Linked DNA regions of Drosophila melanogaster. The protein of the gene in region 2 interacts with the protein of the main gene of each other region in a biochemical or structural test. Each region holds a gene or a part of one and is shown on either strand. Other genes may lie near its edges. The genes, in order: Rab21 and Sbf.

Region 1 (5,630 bases), on a different chromosome or scaffold from region 2:
ATTATATACAATTGATAGAGACACACAAAATTAACATTCCCCACGGCATAAGTACGCTTGATAAATACCGATTTAAACACCTTATATAAATAGCTGAGTGCAACTTGTTGGCCGCCTTCACTGTACCAATAGCCGTAGTTCCCTGGCGAAAGGTGCGAACCCGATAAGGCAGTCCATTATTGATTGCCGGTCCGATATGTTCTTGAAACCCAACTACCAAACATACATAGCTCACACTCCACCCTGGCTGGAAAAACATTGGGCTAGATTAGAGATATCGTGCCCTGTAGCTCCACCTCCTGGAATCAAACTTCTGGCTCTCGCACTTCTCACATGGCCCAGGCAGCGCTTCAGGAACCGAGTTAGAAGAGACAGGACTACTAACTGAAAGCTAAATGGAGCTCAGAATCTGAGGTCGCAAATCTGCGAAATCTGCTGGACATTCGACTCTGGTGTAGGGACGCGAATTTCATCATTTCTCTGGCATATATATATGTATATAGATATTGGGGAATAAAATTAGAAGAAATTGTTTGATTGTTTAAAATATGGGCGTGACCGTTTTGGGTGTTTTGTAGGTGTAAGGAGGGGCGTGGCAAAAGTGTTTTTGGTATACCGACAGAAATTGGTAAAACAAACAATAAAACCAAGAAAAATCAAAACATTTTTCAAAAGTGTGGGCGTAGCAGTTTTGGGAGGCTTGTGGGCGTTAGAGTGGGCTTGGCAGCATATGGCCAACAATCTCGCGAGGCATCTATGTATATCTCTAGGACAGACGGACATGTCTAGATCGCCTCAGCTATTGATTCTGATTAAGAATATATGTATATACCTCATATAGTCGAAAACGCTTCTTTCAGCCTGTTGTTCTGTTCTGTTACATACTTTTCAACGAATCTAGTATATAGTATATCTAGTATATACACCACGAGTAACGGTTATAAAATGGAAGACTATCATATATGTACATACATAGCCCGAATATTATAGATTGGATATATTCTTAAATGGGTAAATACATACATATATGTTCGTTCACTTTTTGTTATAACAAAATAAAACTAGAATACTTATATATGTAACTAATTGTAGCCGAAAACAGTTTTGAAATTGGATTTCAATTAATTTCATTAATAGGAGAAGCTGTTGCGATGATATGATCGTTACATAAAATTATGAAAAAATATATAAAAACTTTATGTATTGTCTTCTATTGCACCATATATTTAAAGTGCCGTAAACTGTAATCTTGGTGCGGTTTAAAATTAATCACCTATCGCCTTGCAGAGCCATTAGCACCTCAACTGATAACGATGATTCAGCCCGGCCCCCAAAAAGCCTCAAAACAAGATAAGTGCAAGTACAAGATTGTTTATTACTGGGCGCTCAGGAAGGGCAAGAAAATCGAATGAAATACATATTTATATTTATTAATAAACAAAAATGTGTGAGGATTTTAAAGATCCATAATAGGGAATAATAAAAATACGCGTATTTATATTTATATCTATCTATGTATAATATATACACAAGATCAACATCGGTTAAAGGTCTACTATTTTATAGTTATGATTACTATCACAATGGGAACGGCTAAATGCCGCAACAGGACCGCTGGCCCGCAGGATCTCCGGGATCCGGGGCCTCCGAGTCATCGGAGTTGTTAAGGTTATCCGTATCCGGATTCTGGAGGCGAAGTGGACTCGCATCCGGTTGCCGTTGGCTCAACTGCTCCAGCATCAGCTGGGTCAGGAGCTCGAAGAGCTCAGCCACCCCCTCGTTCTCCTTGGCCGAAGTTTCTACATATTGAGCGCCAACCGTGCGCGCATATTGAAGGGCCTCATCGTGCGTTACTGCTCGCTGTTCCTCCAAATCAGTCTTGTTGCCGACGATTATTAAGGCAATCTCCGTGCCGCGCATTTGCCGGAGCTCCCGCACCCAGGATTTGACCTTCTGGAACGAGTCTCGGTCCGTTATGTCATAGACGAGCAGGGCGCCATCGGAGCCGCGATAGTAGATGGGTCCCAGGGCGTGGAACCGCTCCTGACCAGCCGTGTCCCAAATATTCAACTGCGCCCTTCTCCCATCCTCCAGGGACATCTTGCGGCTGACAAAGGAAGCCTGCAGGGTGCTTAGGTGCTGGGCATTGAACCGGTCTTCCATGTAGCGCAGCACCAGCGACGTCTTGCCCACACAACCTACAATTAAGGGGTTAAAGCTTTCAGGAACTAATTAGGTTTGTTTAGCTGCTAAACGTACCTTCGCCCAGCAGCACCGCCTTGAAATTAAGCGTGGGGCCGTTCCTCGTTCTGCTCGAGCTCATTGTGGTTTCCCAATAGCTAGGTGTCCTACCTTGATACGCATCAGTTTTCAGAGGACACGGAAAAACAAAAAAAAAACAAGAGGTAATCGAAAAGATTAGGTTTTTACGAGACCGCCAGTGTGGCTGTCTACCAGCACTATTGTAATGGCACTCGGCGATAAATGTTGAATAAGCGAGAAGTCACATACGTATCTGGCCACACTGCGGCCTCAAGCAAGGCCGAGAACTCAATGTCGCCGCAGTCATACATGAAAGATAGAAAATACAATTAAGCGATTTTAAATTAAACCATGTTTTAATTATGAGCAAAATATCGATGCATAGCCTAACATCGATATCAATAAAACCATCGAATGTATGCAGTATGGTGTCGATGAATCGATATTTTGCACGTTACTAACACTGAAGCACGCAGGGGTCCGGACGAAGCATAACATAATAATTTTTGGTTGTTATCTATTAAAAATTGCTGACCATGGCCTATGACTTGAAGAAGGAGTCAGACGTGAAGGAGTACGTAGAAAAGCTGGGCGTGGAATATCGATTCGGGTGCTATTCCGAGAAGAAGCCGGAAGGTGAGTGCGGCGGCGGCAGCGATAGCGACGGCGGCAAAAACAATTGAGGTCTATAACCTCCGATGTGCGGGAGGACAATTCGCGGGGCTTGAAGACATTGCATTTATGAGATAGCTAACTGGCGTTCTGCATTGCAGCGTGCCACTTGCTGGGCGACTACTTGGAGGGCATCAAGAAAGACTTTGAAAAGGCCTCCAAGGTGTACAAGTCGACTTGCGACGACTATGGTTACGCAAAGTCCTGCTACAAATACGGCAACTACAGTTTCCTTGGAAAAGGCAAGAGCGGTAGCAAGGGGAATCCACAAGTGGCCTACGAGTACTACGAGAAGGGCTGTAACTTAAACGACTCGGACGCCTGTCTTCACTCCGGCCTGCTGCTCGTTTCAAAGTCCATGCCTAGGGAGATCGACTGGAATGTGCCCAAGGTAAAGGTGTCGTATGGCGATCACGGTCCCAAGCCTTCAATAAAAGGCTAGCTCTTGGAACTGTTCAATTTGCTTAAAGTGCAACTATGTGCTGCAGTACATTCTCTCATTTGCCCCACCTGTTTCTCATTTGATCCTTGAAATCATAAGTCATTCGTATCGTGTCCAGATAATTGAACGTTTAATTGTAATTTTCTGATTATGTTCCAATGGATGTATAGACATATGTATGAATATAGTTTAGTTTGATCCAATTTAAAACTGTTCAATATGACCCCAGCAGAAAAGTGTTTAAATTTTATTTGATTTTGTGATTTGACATTATAATTTTACAACACCCGCAGGGCCTGGAGTTTCTGACCAAAAGCTGCGACTTGAACAACGCCACTGCCTGCTTTTATCTCTCCGGGATGCACATCTCGGGCGTGCAAAAGAAGGCGGATCAGAGTGCTGTCACTGCATCCTCCGGAAGTGGTACATCATCACCCCCCGCCGGACAACCGCCTTTAAAGGACTCCGACTATATTGTTCTAAAAGACATGAAGAAGGCTTTCCAGTTTGCCCACAAGGCTTGCGAGCTTCGCAATATGTATGCGTGTGCCAATCTTAGCCAGATGTACGCCCGGGGCGATGGGATCGAGAAGAACGAAAAGGAAGCGGAGAAGTACAAGAAGCTGGCCCTAGAAATGCAGGACGAGGTGAAGAAGCAGCATGATACGTTAGGGTTCCAGCAGGGCGTGGGCATGCCTAATTGATAATGCTTGATTCCTGATATTATCTGCTGCTACTGTTTTTAGACCTTGCTTCAGGTCAGGTCAGGTTTTTCTTTACCTTCTAGCCCTTTTCAGTAATTTTCAGTCAGTCTAATTTTGGTAGTTAAGCTAACTAACTTGTGTTTGAGATTTCTGTGTACATAGCTGGCACTTGCATGCGAAAGAGCGAGAAAGAGAAAATAAGTAACAATGGAAATTCCTAGATTTAATTGTTAAAGTTATTAAGTGATGATGAACCCTTTAAAAATTTTGTTGATACCTTATATGAATATACAAACAAGTCTTACCAAAAAAGTAGACAAAAATCTTCAGTTAATTGTGTTTTAGTTACGGTTGCTTGTGCACAAACTGTTGTTCTAATATTAATGTAAGAACCAGTACATTTTTCTGATCAGAATCGCCTGCTAATCCGACAGCCTCATTTTTTTTTTAAATCTAGCACATTATAACGTAATTAATCGTCTTGTAATATCTGCATGTCCTTTCCTCGAATACCTTCTCATGAAGATGTGCACTACATTCGTTCTAAAGAATGTAAAAGGAAAAATAATGTGATTCTGCTTCGTCCACAAGTCTAAAAAACTATTGCGTTTCTACACATACAAGTCTTTCAGGCGTAAAGATGTCTTTATAAAACATTCCCAAAATATTTTAAATTTGCAGCTAGAATATAAGTCGGAATGGAATCATATATGTAGATATGTAGCTGAGAGAAATAGTCGAAACCTTCGGGGTTTTTGATCAAAAAGTTATTTTTGGTTTATACAGTATATTAAATTTCGGCTGGAACTGGATCGAAATTGCTATATCTGCTTTTGGCTGGACCTAAATGAAAATTGGTCTACTTATCATATACATAGCTGCCATGGTAATAGTCGCACGAGAAATCCGAATTTCAAATTATTAAGGTAACTTAAGTTAAAGTTTAAAACAAATGTTCTTCAAACAATTTATTAAAATATGTGTATAAAATATTCGATTTTCTTTTCAAATTTCATTGGGATACTATACCAAAACGGTTTGTAGCGTTCGGTTAATGTCAGAGGCCATAAACTATTTAAGCATAACAATAGCTATTTCCTTTTAGAACCATTACTGCTCAAAGTATGAGGTATTCTGGTATTACTACCAACCAATCAAACACCTTAAATGCCTTTTTTAAAATTTTTATGTTAAACAAAAACAGCTTCTAGCAAGGTGGTAAAAATTTATTTTTCCTGGTAGCCAAAAATTCTAAAACAATAAGTACAATAATACCCAATTATTTGTCTATTAAAGAAACATTGGTTAAATGTAATTGTCATGATTTGTTTTCGAGAAATGGGCAAGATTTTGTTAACGGAAAACAATAATATTTTAAGCATATTAAAAAAAATTGTAACAAAAGTATTGACACAGGCGTCCCCGCCAAAGGAATAGGCAACACTTCGCAAAAATGTGGCTGTGATGAACTTTATGGGACCTCACAGACTCAAACTGTGTGCAAGTACTAAAATATCCCTGGTACGAAGGCCTTTTAGTGCCATTATGAT
Region 2 (7,182 bases):
TTAAAAATCACACGGTAGTTGGTGAGGAAAAGAGCTCCCTCGGCGGGTATCAGGCACTGGGTTTCATCTTCGCGTCCATCCGGCATAAGGAAGCAACGCAGGTGGTCTGTCACCAGGTCCTCCCCTGGCAGCAGGCATGGCGTTTGAATTTTGGGCTTCTGCACGTGCGGATGACGCTTAGCCTCCAGATATACCGGTTCCAGGGACTCGATGTGCATATGCACAACTCCCGGTACCATGTCATGCAAATTGCGTATATGCTCGGAGGTCACTCCACCTTCGGTACAAACGCAGTCAATGAAGCGTGAAATGGTTTTCCCAACCGTGACACCTATTTCCAAAGCATTGTTCTCCTCGAATCCTTCGTCGGAATGTTCGCTTAGGCTGTGTGAGCCCATAATACTGTAATTTAATAATTGAAATCATATATAAATATAAAATCAAAGTTAGAAACTTATCTCGTATTACCTATTGGAAACACTCTGATTTTCCTCTAGACGAAACGCCGGTTTCGGCTTACTGGCTGCATCCACATTGACATCCAGTGGAATTAGCAGGGAAACCATACGGTTCGCAAAGTGAATTGCCTGGCTGTACAAAGTTGACTCCTCCGATTTGGCCAGCTCGGCTTTTTTCTCCTCCTCGATGTTGGGACTTTTGCGCAGCTGCTCGGCTGTAATTTCAAGCGCCGTGGGCTCCTCTAGAGGAACTTCGTCCAGCACACAGTTGGCCTCCTTTTGATGCTCGTTCTGACGTCGGTGAAGCAGATACAACGCCTTTATTTGACCTTGGACATCCTGAAAGAAAGTAGACTCCCAAAATTGCAGGTTTTTCCAGATGGCGTGATCCTGTATCTCTGTGTACGCAAATTGCACTACTCCAGTCGAGAGCTTACGGCAGAAGATTGTGGACATGGGCAGCAGAGCCGCAGCCACTGTGTACTCATCAATGCCGGATGATTTTTGCAGCGCCTTGTTCATGAATCGCACAACTAATTCAAACTGTTGATGGTCCAGAACTGCCTTGTTGCCGTGCACATATCCAAAGAACTCGCGGCACAAGATCAAGCGCGCATCCCGATGCATTAGGGTGCGCATCACAGCCGGCAGCAGTTTTCTGGCATCTGTAATTCGATTCTCAAAGATGTATGACACACAGATCCGCAGCACCTCCAGTCGCCTAGCCGAGTTTTGGACATTGGGACGCACATCTAATGCCTCGGGTAACCTGGGTCCCATCGGAATGATACGGTGCTGATTACGTGTTACATGAAAGCGTTGTGGCACTCCGTTCTTTCGTATCCCTTCCTGTATGATAAGCTCAACCTTTTCCGAACTTATGCGCGGAAAGGCTGGTTGATGAATACGCTGGAATGCGCCTTCCGGCGGACGCAGTACTTTTTGGGCATAGCTGATGTGAGCCAGAGTGCCCTCATTTTCATATAGAACTCGTCCCAATTCCTGGATATGTGTGAGTATCTGAAAGTAGGAAGGAAAGGTAAAATTAAAATATCCCTTGAATCTTTGAGTTCTACCTACGAGATTTCGATTCTGCGCCTCCGATTTGAGCAGTTCGTTCATTGAGCTGTAGAGCTCATCCCAGGCATCGGAGGATCGCCAGGGAGGGCCTCGTTCGTTGACAAACGTCGTGAAAAACATGCTGTCCAGCACCCTAAACAGGAATTCGCTCTCTATCAGATCGCGGGCGCCGAGAAATCCTGCCTTATGGAAGGTGATCACCGGCTTTGGGTGGATCCGAATGATAGTCAGGCAGGAGCGATATCCCTGCAGCAGCTGAGCGAAAAGGCGCATGAATATGGCGCGAAGTTCCTTATCAATCTGGGCGTCAGTCTTAGCAATAGCTGAAGGCCGCTCTAATGTGGGAAACGCCAGATCGGCCTGCGCCAGGTTTGGAAACAGGATCATGCTGAGCAGGTCCTGGGTCTGTTCCCACAGCGGTGATGGAAGAATAGGAACAGGCGGCGTCAGCGACTCGGGAATGGTAACGAGGCCGCCATCCAAATCCACCACAATAACATCCAGTAAATCCGTAATCTCAGTTTGCAGTGAGCTATGTATGCCCATAATAAATGGCGTAGGTGTGGATAACACTTCCGTGAGTGGAGCCGGCAGAATTGGTATATAAACATGAGTATACCGAAAGGGATACATCAATGCCACCAAAGCTCTGCAGCTGTCCGTCAGGTGCCAATAACACTTAGAAAGAAACAGTATCTTGTTCTCTGTCATCACGGAGCAAAGCAGTATCAGCACATTCTTGATGCCCAGCTGCTTGAAGAGGAAGTGGACTCCACTTCCAGTCGTGGGCAGGGAGGAGCTCTGCGGAGGCTGGAGCGACTGCTTGTCTCCTGCTCCTATAGAGAAGCGCACCTGCGGTCCACCCGCTGGAGGAACTTGGATGCAGCCCAGAATGTTTCCTATGAGTGTCTCCAATCCATACGCCAGGTTCTCAATGTACACCGTGTATATGGTGCCGAGACAATTCTGTAAATTAAGATAATGGCTTAATTTAGTATCTTAGGTGGTCTGACTTTTAAACTCACTTTAAAGGTCTCGGCACAGTCCAAACGCGATATAAGCACCAGACACTTTGGTGCATACATGACGCTGTGGTGCGTAATGGAAGCCGGCGTGGATGTCGTTGTGATGCCATCCATCGATGAGGGTGTGGCTCCCAGCAGCCTGCTGCTGCCGATGGTCTCATCCTCGTCGTCGACGCTGCGCGTCTGTGTGATGGCCACCGTCTCATGAAAGCTGAGGCAGGCGCAGTAGTGCTTGTTGGCATCGATGTCCGTCAGCACAGAGACGAAGAACTTGGGCTCCTGCTTCTCGTACGATAAACTCCAGCCGAGCGGCTGGCAGAACTGTCGGAATGATAAGTTAAAATTCAGATATGCTTCGAATTAAGTGAGGAATGTTTCAAGCGCACCCACCCATTCAATGCCCTCGATAAACGGAGTGTCCGGCCAATCTTTCTCGGGAAAGCGCTGAACGATCTTGCCGCACGTCGGCTGGCCGCCCACATTGCTGGCAGTTTCTGGGAAAAGGGAAATTGTTGAATGTCAGAGAATTGCTAATTATGGCTGATGGGCATGTGGATGTACTCACTCTCCTTATCACTGTCGTAGCCGACTATTACGAAGTAATCAGCGAGCCGGGACATCTTGCCCACCACATAGCCGGCCAGTCGTCTAGGATCCTACGGCTCTTTACTAGCCAAATCTAGGAGAACAAAGAGTTGAAGATGTTTTATTTTGATTTTTTTTTTGTTTTTGTTCTGTTGCGTTCTTGTAGCAGGGGACAGCGGCAGATGGATTCTATTCGCCAGTGCCGTCATCCAATTTGATATGCTAATTAGGCTCCGTCTCTGCGCTCGGCATAAATGATTAGCTCCACGGAGATCGAGGGGCCGAATTGTTATTGTATTGTCTATAGCGCCCGGAGGCGTTTTTCAGGCTTTACGAGTCTTGGTCTTCACTCTTTTTTCTTTAACCACACCCCGCCACGCAAAGTGGGATCGTTCGCCGGGAATCGGACTGGCCAATCTATATATATATATCCGCGCACACACCTCGCAGCCGGCTGCAGCCGAAATCCCCGCTAACTGCCAGCAAATCTCAAAGAATTCGGGGCTATAATAATTATTTTTAAGTTCGCATAGAAAAAGATAGATGCAATACACAATAATTTTCACGAATTATCCAACACTTTCTGCATCAGCTGATTGAATGTGTCGATATTTGATTGGCGCTTTGAATGTATCGATAGTTTCGGACTGCGCTACAAATTAATCGGCGCGAACTTAAAAGATCAATTGGAAAATGGCAAAATTAATTTCCACTTAGCCTTAAATATTCATTAAACAATTTTGGGGAAATTATAATATAATTAATCTGTTGGAAAAATAGGAAACTTGTATACTACATTAATACTCCCCAGTATATAAATAAAAATCAAACGCAGCCTTCGTTGGTGACTTGATTTTCTTTTCAACTTAAATATAAATCACGATATTTTTCACATTATGAACTAACGAGATATAAATACATAATAACATTGATGACTAACTCGTGTAAGACGTAACTTAAGATAGATGTGTTTAGCTGATCTTTACAAACATATTACGTATACGTATCGTATTAACTATTATGATGGCCGATCATCTTGTTTCAAGCATGATTTCCGTTTTCTGTGTTACTTTTGTCCGCCGATGGACTTTGCTTAGATTCCTGTGGCGGCATGGTGAGCGATACAGTGCCCTTATCCGTGTGCTTTATGTGCTCCATTTCAATGTCCGAACAGTTCTCGGAATTGGATAGTGCCGAGTCCATGGAGGTGACGGTCATGTCCACGGCCTTATCACTAGAGTTCGTCGACAGCAGAGGTTTCTCCACCGCCGGCTTCTCATCCGCATCCTCATCCCGTGTGGGGGGCACGAAACTATTGCTATTAATGTCCTCGATGGCTTTTCGCAACTGTTTAATAAAACATGTGTTATTGTTATAATCATCAAGGATATCAAACAAGACTTACTTCTTTGAGTCCCACGACACCAACAAGTCTTCCGATTTTGGTGACATAGGCGTGGTTAATACCCACCATGGAAAACAACGAGTGAACCTTGAGTATGGAGGTGCGTTCCACCAGCTGAAATGGCGAGGGATCGATGTGGACATTGGCCTTCTGCAAATCGATGGGCTTCAACATTTCCTCGAGCTCCCATTGCTTCTGATCCTCCGGTGACATGTCAATAACACGTTCCCTGGGCTGTAAATCAATCAAATCGGTAGATATTATATCTTGATTGAAATAAGGGGTTATGTAATTAAAATATTCTAAACGTACCAATCGCACCGACTTCGGCTTTTGAATGCTCTTATTTGGGATTTACAAGATAGGAGAGAAAATGTGTATGTTAACTTTGAGAGTTAATGATTCATAATGCGTTGTAAGCTCGTTGACAATAGATATTAATCAAAAGTTTGCATCAGTTTTACATACCTCAGCCAGCGATTCTGGATTTGTTGTTTCATCCACATCCTCTATAGAGTAACCCAATACATTTTCTGGTTTTATTTTACATTTCGTTCGAGTGGGCGAACCATTTACTCCAACTTCGTTAGCAAACCTTATTTTCGAGCACCTCTTGGCCGTCTGAGGAGATCTATTTACATCTGCCACTTTATTTGCTTTGAATTTAATGCTCGGTGATTGCTTTGAACTATCTCCATTATTTGATAATGCTTTATCCGTGAAATCTTTCTCGGCAGGCTTTTTAAACATTAATCTTGAGATTACAAAATTATGTATAGATAGATATTTTAAACTGGCAATACTCTACTTCAATCTTCCACTGAAATTATTAAGTATTTCTTCTACTTCAAAAAGGCCCATAGTACTACTTCATGCGTGGATACTACCCTTATTTTATAATTTTACTTCGTTTTAAGGCTTACCATTTTATTTGATTCCGTTGAAATAGGGTTTACTTGCTTGCAGATATTAAAGTAAGTTAAACACACATATTCCGAGAAAATGAATGAAATGATATGATATGAATGTTGTTAGTGAGTAACTTACCAGCATAATTTGATCTGTTACAAAATCCCAATTACTTTGTGCAGGCTTGAAAAGAGAGATTTCCTCTTCCGGTTTACTCAGCAACTTAGATAACCCAAAACCCAATTTTTATGCGGTAAATAGAAAATATGCACCTACCAGCTGAACCTTTTTGGAAACACCGGGAGTGCTAGGAGTTCGCGGCACCTCCACCTCGTGGTTGCTTGCCGCCGGGGAGAGGGAACCCGTTTCCGGATCCGGCTGTACGTCCTGGAGCGTGGTGGACTTCTTAAATATGGCCTCGAAGGCTGAGCGAATGCGGAACTCGGAATTGCCGGTGATCGTGGTGTAGGGCGTGATGCTGGGACTGTGCCCCATGGGCTGCGCGTAGGTCTTCAGGTTGAAGGAGTTGGTCTTCTTCAAAATGGACTTCCTGGGCGCCAGCGAACCGTGCATTGTCTCCGCCCTTTTCTTGGGCGGCAGCATTTCGTCGTTGGCAATCTGGCGTAAACTGAGAATATCCGGAGCTGGAAGGACCTCGAATCGAGATGGTCGCCGCATCTTGAGCTCCACTTCCTGTTTCTTCTTCTCCTCCTCGAGGGCTCTTTCCTGAGCCTCCTTCTGCCACTTCTGGGCCACCTCCATTCGCTTCTCGCGTCCAATGTGCTTCTCGATCATTTTGATCAGCTCGTACCGCTGCACGGAACCCAGCAGGATCATGTTGTCCGGGCTGTCCACCAGTGGCAAGGATCTCAGCGTCTTGTTCAGCTTGAGGACTTCTTTGAGCTTCTGATACGAGATGCCGTGCCATATGTACTTTACATCCCGCACCATAAAGTCCTCGACGAATATGCTGTACATCCCGGAACTGGAGGGCAGCAGATCCGGCAGGTAGGGCAGCTTCTTAATCAATATAATACTGTCGTATATCGACGGTTGGAGCAGCGCCGCCACGGCATTGGCCACCAGCACAGCAATCATGACGGGTACCACGTGCGTAATCTGACCAGTCATCTCGAAAATGATCACCGCCACAGACACCGTGTGGGTCACGGAGCCAGAAAAGGCGGCCGCTCCGACGACGGCATAGCCTCCGGGCATGATGGGCGAGAGACGACCGCCATACCGGACGCCGTGGGGAAATGTCACCGCCATGAACTCGCCCACCAGACGACCAAAGCCAGCACCGATCTTGAAAACCGGAATGAACATGCCCGACGGAACTGGTATCGTGGATGCGATAATGGAGACCACAAACTGCAAAAAGGAAGATCAGCATCTGCAAAGGAATTCAACTGCAATCCTATACCGTAAAGAGGGTGTAGATGACAAGGTTGCCAAAGACGCTGGTGTAACTGGTCATCCAGTGGGTCACTACAGCCGCCTGCTCCACAGTAAGATCATCTCGTGACCACGTGAAATTGCTAAAAAGCTGTGTCACCTGCTCGTGGGTACTTAGTTCGCCGGCCAGGAACTGACCCGTGCCCAGTGGAAACGAGATGCTGGACACCAGCAGAGCCAGGAATCCCGGATACAAAAAGCGACTGAAAGATAGATACATATGTGAATTAAAGTATTGATACATTTTGAGAGCTTGGAAACT

Evidence for each region.
Region 1: of the proteins of Sbf (region 2) and Rab21, one has a biochemical effect on the other in vitro, tested with the Drosophila melanogaster proteins (one study listed by BioGRID).

What each region holds. Positions count from the first base shown.
Region 1 is NC_004354.4:23,010,784-23,016,413, forward strand, and holds Rab21 (Rab21), read right to left. Parts: upstream 2,627-5,630; 5' UTR 2,512-2,626; intron 2,482-2,511; exon of another isoform or gene 2,353-2,481; 5' UTR 2,324-2,352; coding exon 2,260-2,323; exon of another isoform or gene 2,199-2,259; coding exon 1,594-2,198; 3' UTR 1,357-1,593; downstream 1-1,356. Other genes in the region: Coa7 (cytochrome c oxidase assembly factor 7), read left to right, coding at 2,799-2,898, 3,036-3,325, 3,670-4,080.
Region 2 is NT_033777.3:11,793,253-11,800,434, forward strand, and holds the start of Sbf (SET domain binding factor), read right to left. Parts: upstream 3,697-7,182; 5' UTR 3,592-3,696; intron 3,243-3,591; 5' UTR 3,184-3,242; coding exon 3,129-3,183; intron 3,058-3,128; coding exon 2,954-3,057; intron 2,885-2,953; coding exon 2,564-2,884; intron 2,505-2,563; coding exon 469-2,504; intron 403-468; coding exon 1-402. Other genes in the region: ClC-a (chloride channel-a), read right to left, coding at 4,190-4,495, 4,554-4,787, 4,866-4,895, 5,022-5,291, 5,477-5,512, 5,601-5,645, 5,739-6,836, 6,889-7,123.